Neodiprion lecontei: one gene and its partner. The protein of the gene in region 1 purifies or fractionates together with the protein of each later gene. This does not show direct contact. Links are inferred from orthologs where the notes say so. Each region holds a gene or a part of one and is shown in the gene's direction. Other genes may lie near its edges.

Region 1 (15,199 bases):
GGAATGCTATAATAATAAACGTCGAGAATATTGCAGGTGGGTGTTCAAGAAAAAAAAAAAAAAAAGAAATATCACCCAACTCGCGACGAACTTTATCTTTTAGCGTCAGATAAGAATGATACAGATATTTCAGTTTAGCTATAGGTTCTGCAAATGCATACGTCATGCTCAAATAGTTGCAAAAATTACGTGGGCCATGAGTTGGGTTTCTGAAAGTTATATACGGAGATAAAAAATATGTTGTATCGTGATTGTTGTAGGTCTCAGACGTCAAATAGTACTGCAAATTGCAAATAATTATTTCAGGTATCGCCAGCACGAGAAGTCCTTAGGGAAAAAGTACCTACAACAATGATGTCATCACGAGCGTAACGCACTGGATATATTTAGAATCGGTAGCCATTCAAAGTTGCCGTAGATGTCCAAACAAACCGCCGATCGGGTTACCGGGATTTAAAGAAGTTTTAAACGCACGATGTAAGAATTGATATTGCGTTGATATATGAAAAATTTACCTCACTTTATTCCCATGTGTTCATTCACCTCAAACAATACAATTAGTAGTATTTCTACGGGTATGGTGTAGTAATATGTATCGTACCGACATGATAACCAACGTGACTGTAACGCGTGGCATATAATGGAAAATAGATACATACATCTATGTGTATGCTTGTGGAGACGGATGGATGAATAGATATGCCAATGAATATAGAAAGAATAAAATAGCTAATGTTATCGATTACAACAGCTACCATATAGGCTTATCTTACGCAATGTTAGGCACAACGTCCAACGCTGATCATTGGGAATATCCGAACCTAGGATACAATTGACAAATATCCACTGTCATGTTGCCGCTGTAGGTTTATTTTCCCCATACAAATGCACGATATGAAACGTAGGTGGTCAACTGGTAAGAATTATCTGATTTCGAGATACGATAAGTTGAAAATCAGATTGTGCGTGAGAGTTTCCGATACGTAAAGACCGCGTAACTTACATTACGATAATCGTCACTTTGTTACGCCCATCACTACAGAATCCCTACAAAAACAGGAGTAGTAGTAGTAGTAGTAGTGGTAGTAGTAGTAGTAGTAGTGGTAGTAGTAGTGGTAGTAGTAGTAGTAGTAGTAGTAGTAGTAGTAGTAGTAGTAGTAGTAGTAGTAGTAGTAGTAGTAGTAGTAGTAGTAGTAGTAGTAGTAGTAGTAGTAGTAACAATAATAATGATGACGATGATGATGATGATGATGATGATGATGATGATGACGATGACGATAATAGTAACAACACTAGCAATAACAACAGTAAAAATGACAACAGCTTGTAAATGAGAGATAATGACGGAATGTTCATAGTGTGCATCTAATATGATATATTCGGTACGTTAAGTTTTAATTCTCTGAGTTGGCGCACCCGAGCGTCTGATGACGCATGAGTGATATTGCGCCACAAATACGACAATTCAAGTTTGCTATTATCCTTACATGTTGGCAGCGGACAGTTGTGCCTTGCATGAGCTTTGAGCCATTGAGCATTTGAAATGTGGTTGGGAATGTAAGGTCCCAGTATAATTAATTCGTCGCGTATTTCGATGCACGAGAAAATCTTTCAGTTCATTGGTATGAGATAGCTTGAACTCATTCTGTACACGGGATATTCAAAGTTCAGTGAAAGCGTTATAGGAGCATATATAACACCAAATTTCGTGATTACACCAGGAATTACGAGAATAGTCGTAGCGCACTGTTGGTAGTAACATTACTTTTTCATATACTAATTCTACTAATATTATGGTTACTAATTATTCACACTGCTGTTGCTGCTGCTGCTACTAATTCTGCCCCCATTGGAAAAAAAAAAAATAAAAAAAAATAAAAAACAAACGAAACCCATCTTTATTAGTGAAAAAGTATCATTCTAAAATTAAAAATGAAGACAGTGATTATTGTGGTGTAGCTAGATGTTATGAAATATTGATTGAATGTCGAAAACCACTAAGCCGGTACCAACGAACACGAACTCCCAGTCGTAGCGCGATCAGAAATTTGGTACCGCTCAGCATCATGTGTAGTATAACGTCAACCTCGTTTAACGTCTGATAACATGCATCCGCGCCGATCCTAGAATTTTGTCACAGTTCCCAGTTTCTTCAGATTATCACTGTTTCCATTGGTTGAACACTGGTAAATACCTACCCGTTCTACGACAGAGTTCTCGGATCGTACACACAGGGATTGAGGGCGCGGAATCAGTGTATTAGCGAAGCTAGCGATACAATTCCGACAGTGAAGATGGAACAAGAGATACCAATCTTTTGGTATGCCGTTATTAGATCTATAAGAAGGCGATTTCTTATCGGCGTTGCCTGACGGCGACATTTTTCGGACGAATTGAATTCGGCGTTTCGGTACACCAGTTTGCAGTCGTTAGTATACTTTCACTAGTGCAGATCTGTATACAAACGTTGCCATTTAAACGATAATCACACAGCAAAATGTCGCTAGAAGACCCGGATATTGTTATTATTACCTCAAAGGGCTTGAAGAGTGACACAGACGGCCGTTTGTCACCCTGCGGTATCATTCGCTTCGTGATGACAGGGTAGGAGCAGTCGGTGGTTTGACCGTTTGTTCATAAGGTTTCGTATCGTTGCCTTAGTTGTTTCGACCGGTGACTGGCGCGGGCTGAGGTGACTGTTTTTGAGCGTTACTCGGATTTTCTGTTGCCCCTTGATGGGGATGCGTTGTTGATTGCTTCGTAAATGCCGGTTGTGGAGTCGGCCTTACTCTTGCCTGCTGACCTACGTTTGGATTTTGTGCGGTACCAGGTTTCACACGTTCCCTATTTTCACTCCCTCCTTCCACTGACACTTTGGACACATTGGGTGAGGGTTGTGCAGGCTGAGGCGCAGGAACTACCTTCACTGATTCGGGCCTCATTTCCTTCCCTGCACTCGTTGGGTTCGATGTCGCTTTTTGTTGCTGCTGTTGTTCTTGCCGCTTCGTTGGAGTAACAGTGACAGGCTGCTGTTGCCGGGGTGGCGAAACTGTAGATATGGGCTGCTGTTGACGAGTTGGCGTATCTGTAGTAACAGCCTGCTGTTGCTGATTTGTCGGAGAAACAGTCACAGGCTTCTGCTGCTGGGTTGGCGGGTTGACGTTAACCTGTTGTTGGGTAGGTACCTGCGTTGGTTTTCTTCTAGACGGTGCTGGTTTTGGCTTTGGTGTTCCACTCGCGACAGGCGCAGCAGCTGAACCGGTCAGCTTAGAATCTCCGATAGATTTTGGTGGAGTTTTCGCGTCTTGCCGTTCGACTACGTTATCGGCAACATTGTTTAATTCACTTTTCATAGCTGGAAATGCCCGTTTCAATGGCACCCTGGCCAGATATTCGTTGTATGGTGAACCAAGATATAAATAATCTTTTAATATGTATGCTGAACTTATTCCGCTGATTTTGCCATCGCTAGTGTATAAAACGTCTGTGATCTTACCATCAAAGCCGATTCTGAGCACAACAACGCTTTCATGCTGTAGAAATTTAACACTTTCAAAATGGCCGATCCAATGTACAGCTCTCTTAGTATAACAATTTGGATAAGCGTCCTCGACAAGCTTGAACGGGGCTTCTAGTAAGTAGAGGATCCGAGCTAGCATTTTTCTGATATACGGATGGGGTGCTAAGGATTGGACGAGGATGGGATGATCAGCATCAGCAGTAACTATCAGGCTGACCAAAAATCCATCCCCTCCGTCCGTATGGATGTTGTCTGGCAAACCAGGAAGGCCTTGTATAAAGATTTCCGCAGTGCCAGCCTTATCTCCTTTGAGATGAAATTTTGACAGGCGAGATGTCATTGTCTCAGCTACCACTACAAAGCTCTCATCCTTACTCAGCTTGACTCCATTAGCAAAGCCAAGGTTTGCGACCAGTACAGTATTCCGCTCGGTCGATGAATCATACTTGATTAACCTGAAAAAAAAGAATATTCGCCAGCTGTTGGTATTCTACAAGCAGGGTAAACCAATGTTCTTAAACATAACTGGGCATAATCGTCGTTGTTCTGTATTTAATTCTGCTTTAGTACAATCGACAAAGCTCGATAATTCGATTGACAACAAGATGAAACTTGTGTATATTAAAATTGTTACCTGCCAGCTGGATTTGCCAGACATGTGTAAACACCGTCCTGAAGGATAAAATCTTGGGACGAGTCGGTCCAGTATATGTCTCCATTTGCGGCAATGTCCAAGCTATTGGCGAGGAGGGGTAACTTACCCTCTATCGGCTTTGAAATATCAACGATCATATCATACTCTCCTGTCATGACATCTACCTTAAAGATACCGTTATAAGGATCGGCAACGTACAATATTCCGTTTTTGTCAAATTGTAAACCTAAGGGTCGACCACATTCTTTTTCCATCCAGACTCCATCTATCAGACAGAGAGGTACCAAATTTGATTCCAAGTTTCAAGTATTTTAAGATTGGAAAAATAATGCATAATATTAAGGTCAGGTTGGAGCAATATTTCAAGTAATTAATTAAGGAACGGAAATTTTTCAGGGAGAGACTCACCGCACGGTCTACCAAACTTGGCGATAGGTACAATATGATGCCCTATAATCTTAACAATGTCGCCTCCATGCAAGGTGGTGAACAATTCCCCGTTACGTGAGGTAAAAGATTCAGGGCCCTTTAGTTTCCCTTCAAACAGAATTTCGGCATCATCCAGTCTGTTGTTCAATTTCAGGGCATCTGTTAGGAACTGCTGCGGTGGCGATATACTGCAAAGGGACGACAAGTTGTAACAGAGACCGAGTGGCATATTCCTCATAAACTTTAGTCTTACTTTTGATTCATTGGGGATGTACAATTTTTTGTAGTCAAGTAATGTTTCTCTTCACAACGCATTTCAAGTAGTCAACTCAGCACAGTCAATTAATACGAAAATTACATAAAGCACAAAAACTGTTCGTTTCAGAAATACTGTGAGTGAAAATCTCATGAAATTCTACCATGTGGCACATAGAATTCAAAGCTCTTATAAAGAATAAGCTCTGATATGTGGGCTCTCAACGCAAGCGGTATGAATAATTGCATTTGAAGTAATGAAATCAGTACTTGAACCCATGAAACTTTGAGAAACAACTGTCGAGTATGTAGAACACAGGTTTAAAAGGATGTGTAATGTGACAAGCTTTTCGGTATGTCCAGAAATATTATTTCACGGCTTGAAGGACACGAATTGGAACTAGAAAACCTTTTGCTTCCTGGGCAACTGCTCTCACTACTGAGCTACTCGAGCTCCCGCTAAACACCGTTCCAAACTGCTACCCAAACAGCGAGACATGCCGCGTTACAACTCCCCCGCTCCTAGGGGCAATGTACCGATGAGAGAATACAAACTGCAAATCGCAAAATCTGCATCTCGCAGCCTCTACACTCTTCCGATGAGTTTGTTTTTGTTGAGAGCGAGAAATGCCACGTCACAGGGTAAATTCAAGAACAATTTTATGTTACGTTTTTTGCAAAGAGGATAAAAACATAAGTGATATGCAAGCTTGTCTATATTGCAGGGAATAACACGATTCATGGATCTCAAGCGTCTGAAAATAATATTTCTTACAATTAGTCTCCTTGCCCAGTATCAGAGTGAATTAGGTTAAAACAGCAGAAGCATTGTGAATCTTTGGTAAAGCTGACCCCAGACACAAATAGTAAGTACTAGCCCATAAGAGTTGGTGCAAAGAATCAATCACCTTCAGCAGCTTCAAGGAGTCCGCTTCACCAAACATTCACAATATTTAAGAAACAGTGACAAATCTATAGAAAGGATGCCGGGTGGAATGTGGTTAGCAATCTGCAATATAATCATCTCATTCAATTTTCCATTGTGTACCTACTTGTATTCAGCAAACTGTGCATCTGGTGGTAGGCCAGGTAGGAAAGTGATGAGCGCCAGAAATAATCCAATATAGATGAATGTGGTGCCTATAGACTTTAGGTAACCCATTGTCGTAACCTGGGATAAAACAAAACGCATGTATCAGAAATGTTATGCTGCTAATGTAACATAGTGCAATACATTTAAGAAATAGTACAGATCTGAAATAACTCAGCGGATGTTTCAATAATAAGATGTATCCCGTGTATATCCCTTGTAACAGATCCTTATATGGCATGCTGTCAATGCATGCATCAACATACGCACAACTCTTACCACTGAACATTTGCCCACAATCGCACAGGTGTTGGCACCAGACGGTGGCCATAGGGCTTGGAAGGGTCTCTTACTAGACATTCACCATATAAAGCAAGCTAAAGTCACTGAAATTGTGTCTACTATAACCTGGCATACAAAAACATTATATTTCCACTGTAGCGAATGAGAATTACTGATAGCGCTTTCCACAAATATTGAGGAGTAACTGATTTTCTTTTATCTATCGCACTTCTTCTTCTTGCGAATAGTCTACACTTTCAGTTGGAGTAAGTGAAAGCTGCTGGGAGCTACTTGAAGGATCATAATTGATCGTAGATAAAGTATGCAATACAACAGCAATAAGACGTGTTTAAAAAATGCGTATCACGCGATAATGAATTTGGATTGAAATACTCACCTTAGATATGCCTAGAAAAAAGACGATGAACTATGTCGCACAACGATTATAACATAATGAATGCTTTCAGGTAATCAAAGGAATTATGTATACTTCTTGTCGAATTCCAATAGAGCGGGTTGAAGAAATTCTCTGGGTACTGTTGTTTTTATAATGATGTATAAAATAATTTGTAAAACAAATTATCAAAATGAGCGCGAAATAACAGAACACCCGACAGGGGTAATAAGTTTGTTCGTATGAAATGTGAATATTTAGCTGACCCAAGCAGGTATACCTAAGATATCGCCGGATACTTCCAACTTGCCGCGTCACGCACGGCAACATAACGGTCACAGGTAAAAAAAAAAAAAAAAAAAAAACAATCAAGCATAATTGTGTTGCTACGCGTACAGCGACAATTTTTATATAGTTGAAATTAAGTTGGAACCTAAATGCGATTTTGGAGCAAGATATTTCTAAGAAAACGGCATTATCGTGGATTCGGTAGAAACACCGAGGGTCAAGTATAAAAATTATTACCAGTCTCAGAACGGTGCTAAGGATGTACGATGAGTGATTTTTCACGTTCACAGTTGATCACGAATGACGGTTAACGACTGTTGAATTTTTGGGTTCGTTGACTTGGCCAATCCTATCCTCTTTGGATTTCGCTGGACTTTGCCCACACATCACCACAGGTCGACAACACCGCAGGTATGGAAGATATAACTTCAATGGAATACATCCTAGGTAGATGTACCGTAAACCTCAAGAGCATTCGTTGGAAACTGTATTTCAGTCGTTGAAAACCGGTGTCAAAATGAACGAAGCCACCTGACTGGCCATCTGACTGAAGAGAATGAGGGAAGGAGAGAAAGAGAGAGAGAGAGAGAGAGAGAGAGAGAGGGAGAGAGAGAGAGGAGAAAACGAGAATGAGGAAGCAAGAGAGCTGATACAACTGGCGAGAAAGGGAGATCACTAGAGTCTTTCTGGTAGTATCTGGCAAGCGCGACTCCATGATGCGGCAAAGTAGCGCGCATTTTGAAAATATACTGCGCGTACGCGCAGGAATTCACCATTGGTAAGTTTACCAACTCTCGAAAGTTTGTAGTAAAAACGGGTTAAACGATTCCGAAACTCCATAGAAACTCCACGTATTATTCGGATTATTTCGAGTGAGTGCGAACGGTGCACTTAGCCAATTCTCGATGGGTGAACAACTGTGATGGGGACGCTTCTGTTGCAGGAAGAGAGAGCACATTGTCTAACTACGTTCCTCTCCCTCGCCCTCATTGGGGGACATTATCGGGCGTTGCGGCACTCTTTCAGCGCCGATGCATTCTCCATGTGCATACATATTATTATTTCATTCCTCGCTATTATCATAGCGAATAAAAGTTGTATCAGTATAAGACATCTATTCGAATGTGTGCGTTGTGTGATGAACACTGATTTGTTACGTATTGGCGTCATATTGGACCGACGACTGATTTCGGACTGATTTACGATTTACGAAGCCGTAGATAACCCATACACGACCTAGGTACACGACTGGTCGAAGTAATTGACGAAAATGCTGGGGCGAAAAAAAATCGAGGAGTTAGAAGTGTGTGTGAAACTGGACGAACCTTTAACTAGTGACTCGTGTTGCAAATTAATTTTGGAGCTGGTCAAATATCTGTTGTATCAAAAGCAACAGATTCCGGTGAGCTACGAGTATTTACTGCGACTGGGAGCTTCGTCGGTAGGAGTCAACGACAGGAGTTTGGCAACGGCGAGAGCAACATTGAGTTGCCTGGAGAATATTTCGGAACATTTAAATACCGAATTATGTTGCGAGAGTTCAGCGGTAAAGGAAATCTTTATATCAATGGGCGCGACAATACTTGCTCCAAAATTCTGCCTTCGAGTGAGCCTTCCCCCAGAAATACTCAGTGGACAGTGCCATTTCAAGCAGCAGCATTCCCCTCGTAAGCCACTGTTGAACCTCATGAGGTACGACACTGCGATCCCCCTTCTTATCTATCACCTGCTTATGGTCTATCTTTCATGTTATTATTTTTCCCAGATCCATAACGGAGAGCGTAGATTTTCAAGAAGCTATGGCGTTGCCTTTGATGCCCACGAATACGTTTTTCCTCTTGCAAAAGAGAGATTGCAACAAGGTGTCGGAATTCTTTGTGCCTAAACCACGTTACGCGATAACTAATGCGACGGCAGGAAGTCGTTTACACCTAAAGCTGTCCCATAAAAGTCATGAAATGTGGAATTGCAATTGCAAGAATACAGTAAGCGTATATCGAGATCGAGATGCTTCGTATTCGGAATTGGCACCTAGTCAGAACACAGCCGGACACCGCAGTACTGAAAAAATATTTGAAGGAGGCCAAGACAGTATTTACCAATGGTATCAGTCCAGAGACATTATCAAAGGCTTCAAGTTTTCTCGGTGATGCAATCATTGTTTTTTGTTCACCCTTCTGGCAAAACTTTATTGTTTATTATATCATCCAGGCTGATAAATGATTAGCTGATTATTTAGTTCGTATAATTGATGAAATGGTTATAACCTTGAGCATCAGATGTCGATTTTTATGGACAATCGCTGAGCACTTTCTCAGTTGTGTAATGTTTTATATCTATTAAGCCATTTATGTAAATACGCAATTGAATATGTCCAGTCTTGCTGCAAATGAATTTGAAAAGCCAATCGAAAACACGAAATTCAACAGCCATGTTTGCGGCCTGACCCCAGGTAAAACAGTAAACACTGACTGAGCAAAATGGAATAACCATTCAGTTCTGTGAATCGATCAAGCTTTTACTTTGTATAGATTGAACAATTATTAACTTCGTTCGGAAGATTGCTTGAAATTGAAGGATTTTCGTTGTCACGAGGCAAGATGGTACGTTACGTAAAACGTTGTGTCGAAATTTTCCATTACATGCATTCAACGTCAGTAAATTATAATTTACGATCTTGACGTCCGCAGCATCTATCAGAGATGTGCCGTTCAATACCATCTACCAAAATGTATTTGGTCTTGAAGGGGTCAAGGGCCGTACCGCTGATAGGCTTGTTTCGCTTGATAACCCTCTTAACTTGGCGCTACGGTGTTCAGGTCACTGACTATTGGATCATCTCGGTTATTGCATCAGCCGTTTGGCAAGTGGCATCTACTTGAATTGACCAAGCTTTGCGCGTGGCCCGCTCGCTTACAACCTATTACAAATTACACATACCGACAGGTTTACGGTTTTGCTTCCTGTGTATTCGCGAAACGACGTTTATAAGAAATGATAATTTTTTCCATCAAAGCTAGTACGTAACTAGGGAAAAGAACCAAAGAAATCATCACGATGAGACGCAACAAGGCCTATCTCTCCCGTCCGGTCAAATGTCTGCTTGTCAAACTGGCTGTTTACGTAAGCAGCACAGCTGAATTGAGAGATAACAATATTGCACAACTGTGCGAAAAATGTTTCTTGCGTTATATAAAAAATTGATATGTAAGCTTGACTATCACTGGGCATTGGCAAATGCGGTTTCAAAAACAAGTAAGGAAAAACGAGGAATTGAATATAGAGAGAGGGACTGACAATGGTAGAAGCAGTGGGGTGATATGCGTTAAAGTAACGGCCCAGCTAGTAGAAATCCTCAGTTCGAATCCTGTTGCTGCAAACTGTGCTGGTCGTCAGTTCGTTACGCAATGGGTGTTTTAAAATATCTGAAGCCTGAGGACAAGGAGTTTTATGAGAAAAATGGATTCATCAAGCTGAGTGGAATATTCAGCGAGGCCGAGATGGAAGAGATTTCTCAAGAATACAACGAGCTTTTCGAGCGCAAGACCAGAGAGAATCTGGAGGGACTGGAATCCGCATGGAGCGGGGATAGGGTGAAGCAAGAGGCTGGGTTTATTGATTATACGGTTTGTACATCATAACGTTTTTGCTTAGCCTTAATTTTCCGAGCACTTGTATTATCTACGTGTATCTCTCCGGTGCTCCACTTTTAACGATCGAGTAATTCTATGTTTCAATGGGCTTGCTAACAGGTGAAGGCGATCCACAACTTACAAATGCACAGTTCCGTTTTCACCAGAGTGATAATGAATTCAAAGTTGCTAGATGCCATGGAAGATGTGCTGGGTACTCCAGATGTCTTGTTGCATCACACCAAGGCGCACATAAAGCCCCCTGAGAATGGAGCACCTTATCTGATGCATCAAGACTATCCCTACTTTCCCTTCAAAAATCACACCATGGTAGCTGTATTTTTACACCTGGATGATACGACTCCGGAGAATGGAGGCTTAGCAGTTTATCCAGGAAGTCATAAACTTGGACCTCTGGCTGACAAAGGTATAACGGATGAGCAGGGTGAACAATATCACTGGGTAGATCAAAACAAATGGCCATTGAAGGGTGCGACCCCTATCTCGGCGAAGAAGGGGGAAGTAATCGTTTTCTCTTACCTCCTCCTTCACGGATCATATTTGAATCTCTCCGACCGTGCTCGAAGGATGTTCCTTTTACAACTCAGAGCCGCAGATGATGAACCTACGAGAGCATGTCATCAATCACCGGCACAAAATCTTGTCCTGCGTGGTAGGAATGTACATCGCAGCGCAAACATGGCCACGCGATTCGCTGACTAATTCACGAACTTTTATATTTATTCGCTTTTCTGTACCGCCAATATCTTGCTCATTTTTTGCCTGTCTATGTGATTGGTATAACTGGATTGTTTTTCGCAACAGTTGTATGTAATCTATGTAACATGTGTACGCCATGTGCGTGTAGTGTTGATAATTTTAAATAAAATACCCGAGGCCTTGGCAGCAAGAAACATCAAACGTCTCCATGCCGTTCCCAGTGTTCTCAATCTGTCATTGCTTGTACGCCGACTGATAATAGCAGTTTTATATGCACACAATTGTACGCATCATATGTTAAAGTAAGTAATTGTGCAAGAATATCTGCTTGAGAAAGCACAACAAACTCTGCCTGAGTTTTACTATATACCAGCGCCAACCACTCCCGCATGATTATTACAACTAATTAGTATGGATGAATATAGGTCATACAACTCTTATCCTTTCACGTTATCATTGGCAATTTCACCTTTTCCATTATACTTTCCCAATTACTCTTCGGTCTGTTACGTATGAAATATTCTCAGATTTTTTGAGGTATTGTGAAATCTTGAAAAATTTTTGCTGATCGAGGCAGGTGTTGAAAAAATTTACGAAATCTCGGGAGGTCCTGAACGATATTGTGGGGCGATGTTGCAAGGAAATATTGAAAGATTTATTTGAAAAAATGCTACGGCGTGGACTGCGTTATCATTGATGTATCGTTTGATGTAGGTATTGATGTAAACAATTTCACCTCGTATGCAAAGAATAGGATTTATTCGTTGTAAGAATGGATTAAACCGAGGAGTGCTAGAAACACCGGTTAAAGTTTTAACGCGCACTACCAAAGTTCATGATTCTTCGAATCTGTAGCGAAGAGATTCATCTCGATGTTCTTCGTCTTCTGTTTCGAGGGCATATACAGAGGTTTTCATCAACCTGAAGTCGGTGACATTTACAACTCGTAGTACCAGAAGTGTAAGTCCCATGACCCAGGCAGCAACTTCCACCCAAGATGAGATCTTTTGTATTGCGGTGAGACGAAGCGCAAGTTTCAATATTTTAAACTAGTAATCTCGCAAAATTTGTAATCGAGAATCATACTCAAGGATGGCCGATATTACCCATAAATTTTGTTTAAATAAATTCTTTGGATAAAATCAGCGTCACGTAAGGATGTCAATTTGGAGTGTGATAGAATTGTCATCGTGCCATACCTTTGTGATTCCATAATATTTCCACACAAGTCTATTGTAGGTGTTTTTTTTGCTTGTCGGCAGGTATTCCGTGATGGGTTCATTCCTTTGAGAGAACAAAAGACGCGTATGTTATACAGATGTTAGCGCCGGTAACATTGGCAAATAAGTATGAGGGAAAAAATCGACAAAAGAATACCCAGATTGATTTAGCATCCCATTGAGACGGTATTGAAAATGATGGAATCCCTCTTGGAAATTGCAGGCCGACCGCCAAGTTAGCAACGTCAGACATAAGTTGAAAAGTATAGCCGGTCCAACCAGTCTCCAGGGACTGTAGTATCTGGATGCGAAGATATATTGTTTAATCAATAATCGTTGCATTGTCTCTTGTATGCACACCTAACTCATTGTTGACAACTTACATTCCAACTTGGTAACCTCCGCGCCCACATATGGAAAAGAAAGAAAAGCCAACAATACCACAGATACACGAAAGAATCGATATTATCTGTATCGTAGAGCAATGATGTTGAGTGTTGTAACTGACTGTCAGCCTGTCTTGCCAAGGTTGTCCCATTGACGAGATCCTGTAATTAACGATACCTGCCACTGACACTTTACGATCTGGTTCCAACCCCGGCGTCGCCCACAATATGCAACGACGGTCAAATAAATCCTATTTTAATCAGACGGTTGGTTGTACTAAATATTAGGAATCCTGGCCGCTCGCTGCTATCAGCGCAACATGCTAGTTATAGGCGAGATAATTCCAACAAATATTTGTTTATTTACCTCAAATAAAAATCACAAATAAAATTACAACTCGAGATTTATGCCTTGAACTTACAGAGCTGAATTATACCTGAAACATAAAAAATGCGTGTGCGGTGACGTAGCCGGCTATTGCGCTAACACAGTAGAACAACATTTGTAGTAATTTCCATAGTATTGAAATGTCGTTGGCATCGCGTTCAATTAGCTCCTTGTGCTTCGTTAGGATCCGCATGTCCTAAGAATAATTGTCAATTTAATTTTTGCACGTCAATCATGTTGCCAATAGTCATAAGTCGTGCCTGGGATCATAGACATCGATTCCTACCCCGAAAATCCAACACGCCGGTCAGATCGTAAGCCGATGTCGAATTTCGAAATACTCCAGAGTATGAGACGCCGCGGCGGCTTGTTAATACCAATATCTATCATGTGACGTTTATAAGGTAAAACTCCTCCATTTCAATCACGATTACCGGGAATTTTTCTGGAATCTATCACGTGATCACGACATTCAATTGTCAATCTACGCAGGGTAGAGAGATGTCGATCGTTTCAGGTTTCAGGTGATAGCCGTGATAGGCGTGGACGATGAGCTGAACCCATAAAAACACAGTGATAAACGTACGGTGAACATTATACGTGCACATCTGCCTATGTACGTACGTACGTAGGCATGCGGGGGTACATCGGTCAATCAAGCGGTGGTTGATCGTTTGACCGTTGTTCGGCGATTGGCGAGGCTGCAAAGGCGGCTGATTTTGTCCTTTGATATCACGGACGACGAGCGCGCTGAAACTTAGAGGTCTTCTTTTGATAACAAAGTTCCGTAACCCAATCTTCCCGTATCCATGTCATATCCATATCCGTCGACCGTGTCGTGAGTGCAGTGTCAACGCGTAGCCCTGTTTCGATTAATATGAAACGAAAGTGCCGACAGCTTGCATTGGTCGGAAACTGTAGGACTGCAACCGTAAAAGTAATCGCAAAGTTTACAGACTGTTCAAGATTAATGAACCTGCCGAGAATAATTGGTATACTACGCTAACAGTGCGGTCAGCCAAGGTTCCGAGCATGTTGTGTAATTGCACAGCTAAGAGAGAACGACTTTTTTTGAAATTATACACTTCAACGAGGAACGCATAATCAGAAAACGACACTTTTCAGGTGAGCTTGCTCAATTCCATTTTTTCACCGGCATCGAAATGCGAAAATACATCAATATAGCACTCATGGCCTTCTTTAATGACCTTGTACAATTAGCGCACCGCGCGACGATTTAATTACCAAAAAAGAAAGGTATATTACGCGTTGACGAATTCTAACCTCCTTTGGCGAATGTCTTTGAGCAGAAATGAGTAGCCAATAACGAGATCACTAACAACTATAATCTCTCGCAGTTAGCTGCGTCCACTGAAATCACCCGCTCCCGTAACGCTATGCAATTGAGCGATCTTACCGGCATGCATACATGCATGCGTACGTACATAATCTCAATGCAATCCTGAAAAAGCCGTGGAAAGAAAGCCGAGCGCTAAATTAGCTACAAGCTATAATTATACTTATAGTTGATGATATATAAATATGAATTACGATTGATAATAATTAACAGTAACGTTTTATTCCTTTCGAAACTTGTCACGCTTCAAGTATCTTGTAGTATTGGAAAAAAGAAACCTGCCAAATGGCAAAATAATTGAAATTGAGATTACGAGTAGCTAACTAATCGGGACGATACATGGATCTATTTTGTTAAGAATTTTGTAGGGACTTAATGCACGTTGCATGGTATGCATATTCGCACTTAAATCATTACAGAAAAATCTTGAAAAAAAGCAGCGTATATTCTGAAATATCCGGATTTTCTCCGCTCAAAATTACCCGTGGTGACTTGGAATTCTCAAATTTCGGGTGATTAGCCCCGTATTTGTAATTAAGGCATTTACATTTACACTTGTATCACTACTTCGGAGGGAAGACGT
Region 2 (16,287 bases), on another chromosome or scaffold:
ACTATTCGTATTTCGTAATATGTGTCCTCCGGACGTGTTGTACAGTTAAGGTTAACGTACCGATTGGACCTAACACGTGAAAGATGTGAAAGCCGATTGTGGGCGACCGCACCTACGAACTACAATAACCCTAGGCTTTAAATAACCTTTTTCTAACCCAAGAATAAGACTTATTTATAGGCTTACATACCGCAGAGACATCGAGCGAGTCACCGAACATGTTCAACTTGTTCCGACGGAGGTTAACTTCGTACTATCGGTGCAGCATTACCTAATCTTACTTCTTAACCGAGATTTTAAAACTTATTCTAGACCTTTGACCCCCGACAAATCCGATCTCCTCTCTTCAAGCCTCAAGGTCTGTGCTGCTTTAGGAAGGCCTACGCAGTAGAAATAGTAATTGCCTGAACGTCGATTCAGACATTTATAGCCAAGTCATCGTCGTACCGTTTGCAGGCATACAAGTTATTAGTCATCAACTGACATAATTGATTACGCAATAATTCCTCCCGTAGATAGATAATATTACTTTTCACAATGCCATCAATCAATGTAACGACACATCATTTTGAACCTCTAATCTTTATGTTCACGTTACATCGAATCCGTAATATACATCATCGCTTTTGATATGTTACGATCGGCTGGATATCAGCTGAATCTACAATAACTTTCTACTATACTAGTTCAGGGATAAATGCGCCGATCGTACCGGCTACACAGGTTTGTGAAGGCCGAAGCTGGTATGAAAATCACAAATTTTTTTAGACATTCAAGCAGAGATGAATAGGCAAACGGGGTAGGACTGATAAAGACTATCTAGAATGAGTACGAAGATCCCAAATATCAATAAGTGAGAGAATCCGATGATAATTCGGAATTATAATGAAAACTACCTCGTCTCTGCTCGTCTCTCGGCGTTGATTGAAAAAACGCTCGTAGAATGTAGTCACTTGTAGTCGAAGAATTCGATACACCGTATCTCGTTTCGCATGTTCGATTTTCGATGCATCGCTACTGTCGTAGTCTGCTTAATTTAAGAGTCTCAATCACGTCAACGTCAAACGCACAAACGTGATGTAAACAATTTCCGTCGTGATATCTCGATGGGTTTTATTACCACAAATTACATACCGGTGATCAACATTCCAGTGATTTTTCATCATCATTCACTTCTCATGATAACTGAATTGTTTATTATATCCCACATCGATCGAATGAATCATAACCTCAAAATATTCGTCGGATCTTAGCTATAGCATAAACCCTAATTATAGATTGACCTAAACTCGTAAAAACAATTTTAAACCAACCGTCAGAATCTTTACTTGAAATAGCATCGAATGTTCAGACTGTTATACAATAATCTTCTGTTCTGTACGTAGACAATTAAAAATGAAGAATTGCTGATTTGAAGAATGATCTCACTCTGCCAATCAGATGACATGCAATGCAATGTAGTAATTACACGGAGTTCCTAAAATGCATTTGCTACTGAAGTAATAGCAATTAGCAAAAAAGTGACAAGTTTTAAAAGAGCAAGAAAAAACTTTCTCCGAAAGATCTACACCTTCTCGTGTCAGTATGGCTGTTTTACACAGAGCATTGTTCACGTGGTTCAATCTATTGATATTCCTAATACTCTTGGTGTTGAGACTGGATCTTAGAATACAATGGAATTGGTTTATAGTTTTCATACCAATGTGGCTGTACGACAACATTCTATTAATCTATATAATATTTCGCATGATATCGCACTGCAAGAACGGACATGATCACATCAGCAGTCTACGTCGTAAAGTAATAAGAATAATCCTTGTTAAGATACATGCTTATACAATACATATTCAGACTCATCTTACCAACAACTAATCAGCTTCAATTTTTTAGGCATGGTACATGACTGCTGTTCTGACTAAGCTGTCCGGTCAAGGTCTTCTCTGTCTTAAATTGGAAGCAACGCAATTGACATTACCAGCCAAAGTTGTACTCGCCCCCTTGTGGGTTTTACTCCTAACACTAGGGTGCGATGTCTTTATCCATCTCATTCAACACTCTCGATACTAACTGTCCAATAATGTACATTATCACACGGCCAAAGATCCACAGTGAAAAAATTCACGTCTCCCTGGTTTTTGGTTGTGAATAACACATTGCATCATTATTTCTCCACATATGTTATGAATAAATTATTTTTCACCTAAATACCCAGTTATTTTTTCTTTCAACTGAAAGAACCTGTCCCAAAATTGTATAAATAGGCGGAAACAATAAATAGAAACATACTTGGTTCAAACAAAAATGTGAAAATCTTTTTACATAAGACATTTTAGCTGTTCTACGTTAGAAATTTGTTATCAATTTATTGTCTATTCAATGGCAACTTCGAAACATTATATATTCGAATTAGCGTATTTTTTTTTAAAGAACCTTCCATAACTAGAGACAAGGAATGCTAAAATGGATGAAGCAAAATGGTCACAAGACAGATACTAAAAATAATCTAGTAGATCCAAGGATGAATAGGACGGAGATATAAATAAATATATCGAGTAGTTCTTAGTTGTCTAAGCAGCCAGTAAACGCACAGGTAGAGCTCATTATCTAAGATTTTACTGTGCATTGCAGCTTAGCAACTGAAAACAGAGTAACCTTCCTAGGCTTGACTCTGGTACAAAAATTTCGGAACTACAAAGAAAAGTCGAAAAGTGAGAACTAATTTGATTTTCTTATTAACCACAATGTGCTAAACAAATATACGGTGTTGAAAAATTATATTTGCACATGCTTGTGATAACAAAAACTAATGTATTTTGTTGAAAAATAACTAGAATCGCAAATTTTGTGAAATTCTCAAACCAGCAACGTTTAAAAAAGTAATCATTTTTGAAAAGTGTACGAGATTTATAAATCGTTTAAAAATATTGTTCTGTACAATTATGCGTAGATGATTACATGGGTACTGGTGATAGCTCTCATAACGAGCGTAACATGGGTTATTGAAGCTGTGATTGTGAAAGAAGTTAGTGCTGGCCATTTAGCCGAATTGCCATGCCCAAGTATCGACGACAATCATCGTTTCATGTATTGGGAGCTCTCTAATAAAAATAATATCATAGGTCCAGGAAACCCACAGAACCCAGAAAAATACAACTACCAAGTACTAACTGGGAAGCTCATGATTAGGGTAATATAATTTCCCCAAATATTTAGATAGAGCTCTGTTAGGATAATTCAACTTGGGTAGTTTTTTGTCACCAGGGTGTTTCGACTGCTGAATCTGGTTTCTATAAATGTATCTCGAGAGGTATAAATGATGAATCTGTCATCAGCATGGAAACGGTTGAGCTGATAGTTACAAGAGACTGGGAAGATGTCTGGGAGAATGACTTTGAGGCAAGATTTTTAGCTTAGTTTTTGCTTTCGTGATATTTTTTAGACTGTAATGTAAGACAGTTGAAAGAAGTAAATGCCATTTTTCTATTTTAGACAAACTTATTGAGAAGCTTGGCCGCTGTTATGGTAATAGTTGTAATCATCGCCTTGCTACTGTACGTAATTACGACCAAACGACGTAGAAATCTTAAATATTTTGGTGAGACGCTTCAACTATTATACCATATCCAAATACAAGTGGTGATCAGTCAAATCAATTATCACATATGACATAAAATATCAACATCGAGCGTGCTTTACTACACGAACTTCGTTCAATCAATTTCAGATATGGAACCATCAAGGGAAAACTCACCAGTCAATTATAGAGATGGAACACGTAGGTCTGCAGGAGTAGTTCGCAATAACACGCCACCTCCAGAAGAAATAGGCATTGAGAATGCAGCAGTGGATGTTGATTTCCCAAAAGTATTTAGTAAGATGCATCAGGAGCAGGCTGTTGAGATTCCATAATTTTTCATCAAAAGTTAGTAATACTTACAAACGCTGTTGGAGCCTAATAATTTGTGAACCAATACAGAAATACAGTTTATAAAAAATGAATATCGAGTGGTCACAATGTATTGCGCAATAAATATAAATGGTCAAGGACATTATGTGACAAGGTATGACATTATATCTACAAATGTGAATGTGATAAGCATAATTTTCATAACAATAGAATAATTAACTTTGTTAAGAACAAACTAGTTGTACCAAATCTATACTAAGCAATTATAGCAATTGAATAGATTGATATACATGTAGAACAATGAGATTTAAGATGCACAACTAATGAATAAAAACTACTTACATTTGCTCAAAGAATCTCACTGTGGAGCTGTGTTTGTACTAGCACCAGCAGTGGTATCCATTACGCTATCATCTGCCTCTTCTGCTTGATCTTCATCATCTTCATCGTCATCTTCTTCCTCAACTTCTATTTCCAGTATACGAATTTTACGGTTGCTCTCACTAAGAATTGCAGCCACTTTCCGGGCTCCACTTACAGCCAAACGACTCGCCGCTATTCCTTGAACAGGTTTTGGCCAAGTTCCACCAGAAAGTTCAACCACTTCACTAATACCCATATTCTCTCTAGTATCAAATGTGAAAACATGGCCAAGAGGCAGCTGCACGAAATACGACGAATGTATGTGATGATCCAGAATGAGCAGACTTAAATAATCTTGCGAATAAAATTGCAAGTCTCCTATCAAACTACTACTGCTAGCAGAGATATCTTTTGTATCGCAACCTGTAAAAAGTTACATAACATGATAGTACAACCATGATTTGAATGTTGTAACGATGATTTAATTTTTATTTGCTTCGTCTACCTTGTCGTCGATCCGCGTCAATGCTTGCACTTTTGACTGTTAAAGAGTTTTCAGTACCCGGATTTTGGACGACCTTAAACATCTGTAAAGTTTTTCCATTCAGGTCTGAGAAAGCAAGCAGTAAATCCTTCTCAGATGTGACAAACTGTGAATGCAACGATGAGTAAGAAATGGTCGACACAGCTGGTAAGCTCACGACTGTAGGAATGAAGAGATTCACTAGCCCCTGGTAAGCCTGACCAAACACGACGCTTATCGCGTCAACCAATTTCGCATTAGATTGTAGCAAGGACAGCGACAGGTCTTGCCTAACCAATAGCGGATGGTTTTGTAAACAGACATTCTCGCTGAGCATAGCAGCCCATTCACTACCATCGGGGGTTAAGCATGTCCGAAGAGGTTCTTTTCGTAAGTACTGACCGAGTTTTTCAAGATTTACACCTTTCCTAGCACCTTCTTTATCTCCAACTTGATCAAACCCACGTAAAAATTCAGCTATAAAAGTCAAGTCCTGTTGACTAACTCTGCTGACTTCAGGTGGCGCCCGTTCGCCAGTCAATTTGAGTATAACAACATATAGCCATCTGAAAAGCACAACAATTCTGTAACAAATAAACGATTCGTAAATTTTTTTCTACCCACCGAAAAAATGCTTTGTAATCACGCATACTATGATCGATGACTTGTTGTATTTCAGATGCTTTGGCAAGAAAAGCTTCCGATGCCCGAAGAGCCTCGTCAATTACACTTTCGGAAGTAAATCCCAGGGCTTCGTATTGTCCACCAAGTTTGGCCATTCCAGTCATTTCAGCCAGCTGGTATGTCAGTGCCATTCCGACGCTGCTAAGATGCTTTAGGACTAATTTCTGCACAAAAAGATTGAGAACTAATTAGAATATCTTTAGTTATTCCCAAGAAGTAAACGAACCTGAATATTACTGTAGCACATTTCAATGCTATGTCCTAATTTCTTCAACCCTTTTTCAGTCAGGTCTCTCAAGAGGAAATTTTCCAAATTCGCAGAGGGAATGCCGATCATAAGAAGGTCCAAAAAATCTGCAGCCACTGCTCCAGGAGGGTTGGCCTCAGCGTAACGAGACAATTTCTCATCCATTTCCAAGAGAATTGTTTCCCATGCTTCGGAAATAGCCATCAGCGTACGATCGAGGTAGTCCATCAGATATTCAATATTAGCTTGAGCTTGCGCTACCTTTTAGAAACAGACGCAACTTTCAGCACTGCCACCTTAATTTTAAGGCTACAAAAAAGTATAGATGAAGTGAAACTCACTTTTAAAAATGCTCCATTACTTTCCAAAAGTGGACAACACAGATGAACAACACTAATGTTTTCCAAGGATCGCAGACTGACCCAAATTGGCCCCCCTGAACCACCGTTGATTTCCTGTACGGAACCTGGCCCTATGCTTAATGTACCACAATTAAACATCCCAAAGACATACATAGCAACAGTGCCTGCTTCAGTTCCAAGCTGTAAAAAATTGAGCACATTGTAAATTACATTGCATTTTATCCTCGACTATTGTCTATTTATGATTCATACGTGTGAATAAATGAGTAATTAAAATGAGACATAACAAAGAGAAATGAATTTGTAAGAAATTTTAATCTTCTATGTATTTTAGCATTCATTTCTTGACACACTTACAAATAACATGTCCAAGGTTTGGGATAAGCTTTCCTTGTGCTCAGGCTCATGCCCAAAACTTCTGTTCAAGCTCGGCAAAGGTGGAAGATATTCTCCAGTTGACGAGGAACAAGTTTTGATTCCAGTTCCGCATTTTTCAGCCTCTTGAATGCCCAATGGTAGCCAGGACAAAGTTGTAACAATTGCCTGTGAACTTTGTTGAGTTTTATGAAGGATATTCTTGTTTTCAACATCAACAAGATGTATGAGATTTGATTCTTTATAAACAACAGCAATGAGCTTTCCGTTTGGTCTCCAAGTCAGATCCTGAACCAAATCTGTTGCTTCAGGCGGGGGTAAAAGCCAGACACGCTGCCACGTGAGCCTATGAAGTGCTATTTCCCCTGAAAAATGCGAATCATCGAAAGTAAGGATAACGATACTCTCTCTCATTTATTGTCGGCGTTTTACCACTTCATAAACAACGCATATCGTACTAACCTCTCATGTTAGCTATAGCCAACAGATCCATTTTTGGTGACCATCGCATCAAAGTCAACTCCACCGACAATTGTCGCTCCTCCAGTTGTCTTATAGCACACGACATATTTTCTTATTTTTAAACGATATATTATACGAGTTCGATTATTATAAGATCCGTCAGTTGGACCGGCCGCTTAGTGCAGTTTTGCAAGCAAACTTGTATGTAGTGTTGCCAAGTGCAGAGTAAACGATCTCGCTATCTCAGAATCAAAACCTCTAGAAATCCCTAGATGTTACAAACGCATAAGGCCCTAGTGAGCTCTATCTCTGTCAGTTCAGCTATGCCGGTCAGGATTACCGTTGGGTTTACCATGGATTTAGCCAATGGCGGCGTTTCGTCGGCATTAATGTAAAGCTGGCAAAACGGCCTGTGCTTCTCGCAGGGCTGCTCGTATACGTGTGAATGTGTGTTTGAATTGTTTGAAAATAACTATAAACATATTTATCCGTATAGGATAGTTGAAACACGTAAGTTACGGTAGCATTTGACGATTTTTCTACGAAGCTACAGAACTGAGTCAGTGTTGATACAGCATCTGAATCGACCCTCAAGAGGTTACCTTTTCGTAAACAACCCCTGAAACTTTTCAGAATTCCAAATCATGGGTGACGACGATCCAACCTGTGTTGTCAAAATGATCAAGGATCTGCGATCAGGTTCTGGAGGCTATCAACGCAATAGCCTAACGTCTTCCGGGTTACGGTTGTCCTCGGCGTCTTACATTCCCTCTTCTTCTATCATCAGTGACATCGATAATGATGATAGCAAACGTACCCCAAAACGACCTAGACTAGATGAAACGAATACCAGTCTTAACAGATCTAGTCTGGATGGCGCACCTGGAAGTCCATGGGAATGGAGAAGGTTGAGGGGAGAGGTAATTGTTGCAAAAAAATGTTACTTGAAAACTAAAGGAATGCGTTAAATATCGATGACTTTTGTCATACGAAGCATTTCCCTTTGCACAAGCTTACCACTCGTATACTTATGTAGGTAATTTCGTTGCGAACAAGACTGTCGCACCAAGAGGCCACAGTGGATCAGCTCCATGGTGTTAGAAGGCAAATGGAACAAGTCTTTGACAAGCAAAAAAAATTGTTTGAAATGCAGGCTGAACAAGATAAACAGTCAATAAAACTGCTAGAAGCTAGATTGGACATGGCTCGGCAAACAACACAAGAAGCTATAGAGGCCCAGACTAATGCTGAAAGAGAGACTGCCCTGGTAATGTGAAAACTTTGAAAATTTTCACGTAACTTCTAATACACTGTTTGTTCGTGGTTTATTTTCTGCAAGAATTTCGAAGAATGGAGAATAAAGAAACAGAAATAATGTTGCAATATATTACATGCTTTTACAATTTTGCTTTACTATGTTTTTGCTTAGGTGAAGATGAAACTAGATCAGAAAACCCTTGCATTGATGAATGACAATGCAAGACTTCAGGATGAAACTAGACAAGCCAACAGCCAGCATCGGCAGCAAATCCCACCAAGTGATTGTAATGAGGATGTAACAGAAATAACACAGAAACTCGAAGCTACTGAGAAGAGAATTCTACAACTAGAAGAGAGCCTCAGAGAGGCCAGAAGTGGCCAGCAGAAGAGTGAATTGCTGGAATTAGAAGTACAAAATTTGAAGATGAAAATTGAAAAGTTAGAATCTGAACGATCGCTATGTGAGGAGGGCAAAGCAATGGCGGCCAGAGCTGCACGTGCTAGTGATCTAGAGCGAGAACTTCATGCTGCCAATAAACAGGTTTCTACTTTGCGAGAATCGGTAAAAGGAAAGTTGCTACTCGAAGAACAAATCTGCAGCATGCAACAAAGGTAAGAAAAAAGTTTTCAAATAGCAATCTTGCCGATAAACTATGACAGGAGTTCATCAATCTAGATTTGTAAATAATGTGAACTTGCCATCAGGGTTCAGCATACAGAGAAGTTGGAGCTGCGAATTGCAAACCTCGAAGCACAGCGGGCGGAGCTACTGTCACAAATTAGGGAGTATGAGTCGATTGGTATTACTGGTGGACCACTAGCGCTAAAAAAAGAATTACAACGTTTGCAACAAACGGAACTGATCTTAACAGCCGAAGAAGGTCAATTAAAGTCAAAGATGGAATCTGCTCAGAGAGAATGTCAAAACCTTAGTAAAAAGTACGAGGAAGCTAAGACGATAGCAAACGATATGACAGGTGTCAGGGAAAAATTGAACAAATTGGTTAGCAGGCTACAAAAGAAAATGATGCTAGTTACCCGAGAACGAGACAGTTACAGACAGCAACTCGACTTGTACGAAAAGGAAATGACCGTTGATGGCCATAGTGTACTTACCGAACGAGTACCAGCTTTGGAACGAGCCATAGACGGATACAGGTAGATATGAAAACATTGTCCTCTCTCTACTTCACGTGTATTGATTTTTTATTTCTTTTTTTCTACACAAGAGAAAATTTCTAATATTATTTACATACCTTAATTGCGAAATACTATTCCACTTTCAGGGAGCTTGTCAGCAAATTAGAGTCAGATTTAGAAGCTGCCGATGATTGTGTGCAGAAGGGTCAGTGCCAAAAGTTACGAGAAGAGATCGAGAGACTCAAGGGTGAGCTAGAACACAGAGCTCTAAAAGGAGATTTCAATTGCAATGCAAGGATCCTTCACTTCAAGATGAATCCAGCCGCTCTAGCAGAGAGACAGGCGGACGAAAAGTACGAAGCTCTTCTACGAGAGGTCGAGGAACTCAGAGCTAGAACGGCCTCTGGCACTTTGAATCTGGGACCCGTAGGATCATCTGTTCAAGCTCAAGGTAAAGAATTCTTTACAAAAAAAGAGTAACAAAAATACATTCACCAATGCCTTGGCTCGAATATATCAATTGTTTGCTCATATCCAAACGGGTAATTCTCAATCGTTGTTACAGAAATTGCCGAGCTCAAGCAGACTCATGAGATCAAGATCACTCGCCTGAAAGAAGCATTCAAGGCGGCTTCGCAGGAGTACCGCCAGGCCTGCTATCAGCTTTTTGGATGGCGAGTCGACAGGACAAAGGAGGGACGGTACAAGCTATCGAGTCAGTACGCAGAGTCGCCGGACGACTTTCTATTCTTCCAAGTTGGCGAGGAAGGCGTTGATCTTTTGGAAACCGATTTTTCCGCAACTCTCGGTAGCCTCATAGAGTGTCACCTACAGAGACAGCACAGTGTCCCGATGTTTATAAATGCCGTTCAAACGGAACTTTTCTCTCAACAGACCGCTGCGACTGTGACAAGCTGAACTTATCCTTACATGAATATTACAATAACTGAAAATAAACCAATTCATTAAGAGCTGTCGATTGTTGCGATTTGAAAATGACGAGTCAACTCTTTAAATATGTAACTCGTACCCAGCTTTAAGCCCTTGTACGTACGACTAAATACTTTAACAAACTTTTAGTATGGTATAAAAGTATCGTGAAAATACATCTGAGATTCCATAATCGATATCTATAATTATGATTGATATTATTACTTTTCATATAAATCATATAATTACTTTTTGTTTAAAGCAAATGGATATTTAATTAGTAAATAATTTAGAGCTGAATTGCCATTCGCTTTTTATTTTTACAAATTTCGACACATTGTTCTGATTTGTGATCCGAATGATAAAGAACATTGTTTGCAGAACGGTTTGTTTTACACAGATTCATATTGCACGATTAACTTGCATTCAAATTAAAATTTTAAATGATTTGAATTAATTAGCTCCGTACAAATTAACAAATCCCAAGTCCAGTTGAGCGTTAAACGAGTCCAAAATTAAACGCACCTCAACAGCCGTGGAAAATAATCTCTGCAGTCACGCGGTATCTCCAATTAACTCCGAACGTGACGGTAAAGTATGGCAAACAACAACTAGGGTTGTATCTATTATATGTTTTACGGTTTCTATTCAGTTTTAACGTTTAATTTCAAAATTCTTGTATAAATCTTCAACTTTTAACCAACCGATTAAATCCCACGAGACGAATTTTTATTTTTTTTTCTATAAATCCCCAATAATATAACAACAGTAAAAACTGACGGAAAATAAAAGCATGAAACTCCGGACCGATAAATTGTTACGAAACATACGTAATTGATGAAAACTCGACTCGTCGCGTCGGAGGGGCAATATCAATCCGAACCCCATAACCGTCACGTAAGGTTCGTCCCATTCGATCCGACGATTAGTATAATACGTGGTAATTATCTCTAGACATAGGTGGAGAGAACCGGCCAAGATCTATGGGCACATAACAGTCTCGTAGTACTTGGGACAGGGTGATAATTTGTGCCGGGCGAAGAAGAAGTAGAGGTTCGTTGAGGAGAAGGAAGGGCGATTACGGAACCCCGGTTATATACACATGCCCATAATGTATATGGTACATAATACGGAGATACATAGCCGGGCACAGAGGTTCGCTCTATCGGTCGGCGGCGGCGAGCAGCACCCCCGCAGGACACGGGGTAAAATAAGGAAAGGCTGGTGCGGCCGCCCTCGGATCCGCTTCATTCGGGAGCTCCGAAGGGCTAAACTCCATTATCGCTAATTATAATCACGTTTAATCGCAAACTCGTCCTCTCTACCCTGCCCGGCGTCGCCCTCCTCTTCCACCCCCCATATTCGACGACCGCTTTCGTACACAGAGACGCAGGACGACGCGACGTGTATGTGCTCACCCCGAGACCTCGTGCCCGGCGTCGCTCAGTCCTGATTATCAATCTGGACTCTCTCGCCCTCCCTTCCTCTCTCGCTTACGCCCCGCTTTTCGCCCCTCGCTGAGCCTACGTCGAGGAGCCACTCGGCGTAGTTATATACTCCAGAGATACTCCAGGTGTCCGGCGCACGTAGAGACAGACGCAAAAGGGCTGCTGGGGCGGTGGAAAAAGGACTCGAAGAAAACGCGTTTATTTCTACCGTCTTCCGAGAGGCCCGCAAAGTACCTCGAGCTTTTGTGCGGTGTACGTATGCATGCGTGTACGTGTTCACGCGTGTTTGTGTGTGTGGCTTATACGTATACCTCTGCCTGTATGACACACACGATTGCCGTTCCACACTGGCGTGTATCGGTGTGCATGGAGAACGGACAATGGTTCGGGGGTTTCTCATACATCGTTTAAACTTATTCCCGTTCAACCCATCGTGCACCTTTCTACCTACAGCCAATTTCATATAATCTTCATACCTTTGCCCCGGCCCCAATTTGAGTCCGAATCAAATCTCCTCGCCCAGGATCGATATTCCGCAAATTATTGACGATCAACTGCAATGCGGTTTATACTTACCTTGACTTCTACACAGCTATATTTACACCAGCTAAACAACCGTCGCGTTTCAATGCACTTTACACGGCTTGACTCGTTCAGACATGCGTTTAATACATGCACGAGTACCCGCCGACAAAGGCAATTCGGTATAGGCATGTACTTGACAGGCGTTTTCCATGAAAGTTGACGAAGCAACGCCGGCGGATAGATAACCGAAACCACGTTTTTAAAATCAGTTACTTAATATCACTTCTGAGAACAATATCCGACGCGCACTCTTATCAGTCCGGTTACAGACGTAGAATGCAGCGCCGGCTGTCTATCCGAAAACGAAGACGATACAAAGATTATAAACGAGACTAGACGCGGCGAAAAGTAGTAATAGAACCGTTGTTCGTTACAACACGCGAGGAGCGTAGGGTCTGCGTCTTAAAACGAAGGGTACCGACATTCGAAATGCGCTAATTTACCCCCGGACGCAAGGGTGCGTGCACGATTATACGTGCCGCATGAAGCGTCTGAAAATCAGACCCCGGAGTGAGGGATTGGAGGATGATGAGGGTGGTTTTCGGGGGTGGCGGATCACCTGGCGAACTCGACGAGGGAGTCGCGTTGCCCCGTGGGGGTAATTGTCCGTTCCTAGGGTCCATTACGTCTAAGAGCTGGAGGGTGGCGATGCGTCCGTGACTGCGAACGGCGGAGGGGTGGGGGAGGCATCGGAAGGACGTGACGGGAAATAAGAGTGCGGGCGAGTGGCGGCCGGAAATTGCGCCCGGCGCGCGATGGTCTCGAACCCGTGGGAGGGGGGGGGGGGGGGGGGGGAGGGTCGAAGGTCGGGGGCGTTTGGGAAAACGAAGGTCTCGAGAGGAGGACCGAAAGGCTCAAAATCGCGGAGCCGACGTCGTCGTCGGTCCTGTCCTGCAGTGTCCGGTCGAACGGAACGTGGTGTATCTTGTCTGCACGGATCGACCCCCCGCCCCAAACCCGCGAATAAACGAACGCTGCAGAGCATCGTGAAGGGAAAATAAAACTGGAGGAGGAAAATGGGGAAACGTGGTGGTAGGTGTGTAAGAGAACGAAGCGACGGACGGACCTGTCTCCTCGAACTCTGCGGCAGTCTTCCTCGGACCTTGCGTGACTTCCTGGAGTTACGACGGGCGAAACACGTGCCTTAAGTCCGACCAGGCACTCCCTTGTTTTATACTGGCGTTATTATGGATATACCTGTCGGAATACCTAACTTTTGCTGTTTCTTACTGCTTTTCTTGTTCCTGATAAAAGTGGGAAAACTTACGAACGGCATTGTCACGCCACCGAACAGCGGGGGATACTGAAATCCCGTTTAGTTTTTTGTTTCTTAAGCGGCTGGATAGTTTGGTTTCTGTTTCTGTTAATTTCAAATTTTTCGAACCTGTTTTTGGATTCTTGTTGTTATTTGAGACCCTTTTTCATTTTCTAACCGTAACAGATGGTAGGAAATTAGAAATTTTATCCATGCTTAATGATGTACTCTTCCACTGTTGCATAACATATAACTATGCATAACCAAGATCTGCGAGAGCAAATGCAAAGGAAGGGCAAAAATTTTTTTTCAATCTTTCATGAAACTTTTCTGATTCTCTGTGCAGTAAAGATACCTTAGAGATGAAGAAAAATTTAGAGTTGAAGAGAAAAATGTTGAAGCGACGAACGGTGTAATATAAGGATAAATTAATACGTAATTACTCGAGAATAATACACCTGAAAGAGAATTAGTTGGAAGCAAAGCTGTCTAACATTTTTATCTACTGTATATTTAAGAACGACCAGACAGCGTTGTTGAGCTTTTCCTCCCCTCTGACCAAATTTGAACGAATAAATTTATTCAGCTTCCGCCCCCCTGGGTGACCGTAGATTTATGAGGGAGTTCGCAGGGGTGTTCGCGTGTCTAGAAAAAGTGAGCAGCTTTTCGAGCGGAAGGATCTGGACGTGTGTCAGACGCGGCGATGCGAACCGCGAGGTGTAGGCGGTAGGCATCCGAAACCCGAAGTGGTTAATCGCAAGTGTTGGCGGGATCGAATCGGGGAATAAGGGATGCGCGTCACGTGACGGTGGGCGTCGGGTTTGAAAAAGGCGCGGCTTTTTAAACTCGCCCCAGGGGGGAAAGCCGGATGAACGCTGATCACCGCGCGAGTTTCTCTCGTGTTTATCCCGAGTACAGGAGAAGCCTCTCGATATTCGCGGCAATTTCGCATCGCGGTCTCTGCCGGGGAGCTAAAAAGTTCCGTCGCTTCGGGGCGGGAGCCGGATATGATCTCGGGAGGAGCTACACGTGCAGCAAAGTCTCGCCGCACGCGAATGCGAGCGCCTTTATCTCTAACACGTGATCGGACGAAGGGCGAGATAGTTTCGGAATATCGTATTCCGAGGTTGCAGGTTCCCCGGGGAACGGCCCAACTATAAGAAATATACGTGCAGACGTTCACCGGCTCCGTATTAAACGAGGAAAATTTTCAGGGAGTTCGGTTGCAGTCGCCTGCATGCGGCGAAAGCAAATTTGGCCGGGTAATGCTCGAGGAAGAGTGCGCAGGGTGATACGTGCAATGTGAAAATACGCTAAAAGAGAGGATGGATCGAAGCGAGAGTGAAATTGTATACCCAGGTCTGTACGGTATTGTACAACGAAGAAGAAAGATTTAATTCAACGGGCCGGGCGAGTCGAGGACTGCGAATCCGACGATAATATTGTTTCACCGGTCGAAAGCTCCGCCGCCGTGCGCCGCTTGGTTCAGGAAGATTGAAAGACTCGCTGCGCGGACGTTTCGGTTGATCTTCAGAAGTAGCAAATTTAAGTGAAACAATGCGAGAGACAAAGCGGAGCCGAGGAGTAACTGAACCTGAGGAATTTCACCTTTTTCGACTGCACACACATACAGTGCAGACCCGTACCCGCGTCGTAATACATAAAGCACATAAAGCACGTAGCGAACAACGTCTTGAATATTTGAGCCCTCGAGGAGAGGAAAGATCCCCTTAAAAGCGCGCGTTTTATGAATAATTTAGCAGCACGGGGCCCGGTTCGCCGTCGATATACACTCTCTTTCTATAATTTTTCCCAGCTCTCTCTCTCTCTCCATCTCTCTCTTCGGCGCTACAGATACGGACGGGATCGTCGCGGAAATTGCGACGGTTTACGAACTTGAGCTTTCGATTAAAAACGCCCCGTCTTCGGTAAACATTTGGGGCCTGTTTCTAGACGGCTAAATTGGCAGCCGGGTTTACTTGGTCTGAAAAATTAATCAACCCGTTCTTCGGGGCGACGGGCCGCACGCCGTGGCAGGCGGGCATCGGCCCGGCGGTAAGCCTGTAAATTGTAACAAACGGGGCGCATCGTTTCACCGCATTAAAATTAATGACAGGGGCGTGACGGCGGGGGCGGACGCGAGCTTCGGGGAGCAATAACGCAAACAGACACGCGATAATCCGGCGACGAGCGCCCCTCGTTAGCGAGCCCTGCCACCCTCCTGCACCACCACCGGGAGCAACGGCAGCAACCCTCCTCCACCCCCGCCACGACGTCTTTCCATCCCTTCGTCACCTGCGAGCCGGGTATGATCTATACGCCGTATTACCCCGGTACATGCTTAACGCAATATTCTCTACTTGTTGTAAAAGCGTGTCAAGATATACGGTGCCCCGTATCTTGTAACATTAACGCGACAGCGTTGCGGAGAAAAATTTCGTTTCTTATACACCCGTGATGGAAAATGTTAGAAAATGCTGGCAGAACGGGTATACTTATCGTTGCGACAGCGTGTTAAGTAATATCGTTGATATTGGACGAAACTTTTTTTACACCCATAATTGTTTTGTGTAATTACGACGCCCCTCGTGCACAGTTTTAATAACAAAGAATACGGTAACATGTACTTGTTCTTCTGCATGGTTTCAGCTGAAAAAGAACAACTGATTTTCGTTATTTACAGAGAACTATGTTTTTCGTTTATGGCAAAGAATGAAAATAGTTAAGGACTGTATACTAATGATAG

Evidence for each region.
Region 2: the proteins of MAD2L1-binding protein (region 1) and mitotic spindle assembly checkpoint protein MAD1 purify together in Homo sapiens (co-immunoprecipitation; 4 studies listed by BioGRID and IntAct, with this or other methods). This does not show direct contact. The link is inferred for Neodiprion lecontei from reciprocal best matches to the Homo sapiens genes MAD2L1BP and MAD1L1.

What each region holds. Positions count from the first base shown.
Region 1 is NC_060266.1:93,575-108,773, forward strand, and holds MAD2L1-binding protein, read left to right. Parts: upstream 1-7,546; 5' UTR 7,547-7,691; intron 7,692-7,856; 5' UTR 7,857-8,183; coding exon 8,184-8,605; intron 8,606-8,678; coding exon 8,679-9,063; 3' UTR 9,064-9,327; downstream 9,328-15,199. Other genes in the region: adipocyte plasma membrane-associated protein, read right to left, coding at 2,658-3,975, 4,155-4,440, 4,584-4,792, 5,912-6,021; probable alpha-ketoglutarate-dependent hypophosphite dioxygenase, read left to right, coding at 10,321-10,539, 10,666-11,268; uncharacterized protein LOC107223528, read right to left, coding at 12,099-12,269, 12,465-12,549, 12,643-12,786, 12,869-13,122, 13,309-13,452. UniProt on the Homo sapiens protein: May function to silence the spindle checkpoint and allow mitosis to proceed through anaphase by binding MAD2L1 after it has become dissociated from the MAD2L1-CDC20 complex.
Region 2 is NC_060265.1:6,128,611-6,144,897, forward strand, and holds mitotic spindle assembly checkpoint protein MAD1, read left to right. Parts: upstream 1-7,253; 5' UTR 7,254-7,433; intron 7,434-7,556; 5' UTR 7,557-7,567; coding exon 7,568-7,843; intron 7,844-7,959; coding exon 7,960-8,190; intron 8,191-8,352; coding exon 8,353-8,795; intron 8,796-8,888; coding exon 8,889-9,341; intron 9,342-9,469; coding exon 9,470-9,774; intron 9,775-9,888; coding exon 9,889-10,241; 3' UTR 10,242-10,294; downstream 10,295-16,287. Other genes in the region: NADH-cytochrome b5 reductase 2, read right to left, coding at 191-220; transmembrane protein 60, read left to right, coding at 1,585-1,800, 1,891-2,067; uncharacterized protein LOC107218520, read left to right, coding at 2,948-3,187, 3,262-3,396, 3,490-3,595, 3,725-3,909; uncharacterized protein LOC124295044, read left to right, coding at 4,946-4,961, 5,055-5,183, 5,473-5,593, 5,763-5,943, 6,096-6,164. UniProt on the Homo sapiens protein: Component of the spindle-assembly checkpoint that prevents the onset of anaphase until all chromosomes are properly aligned at the metaphase plate.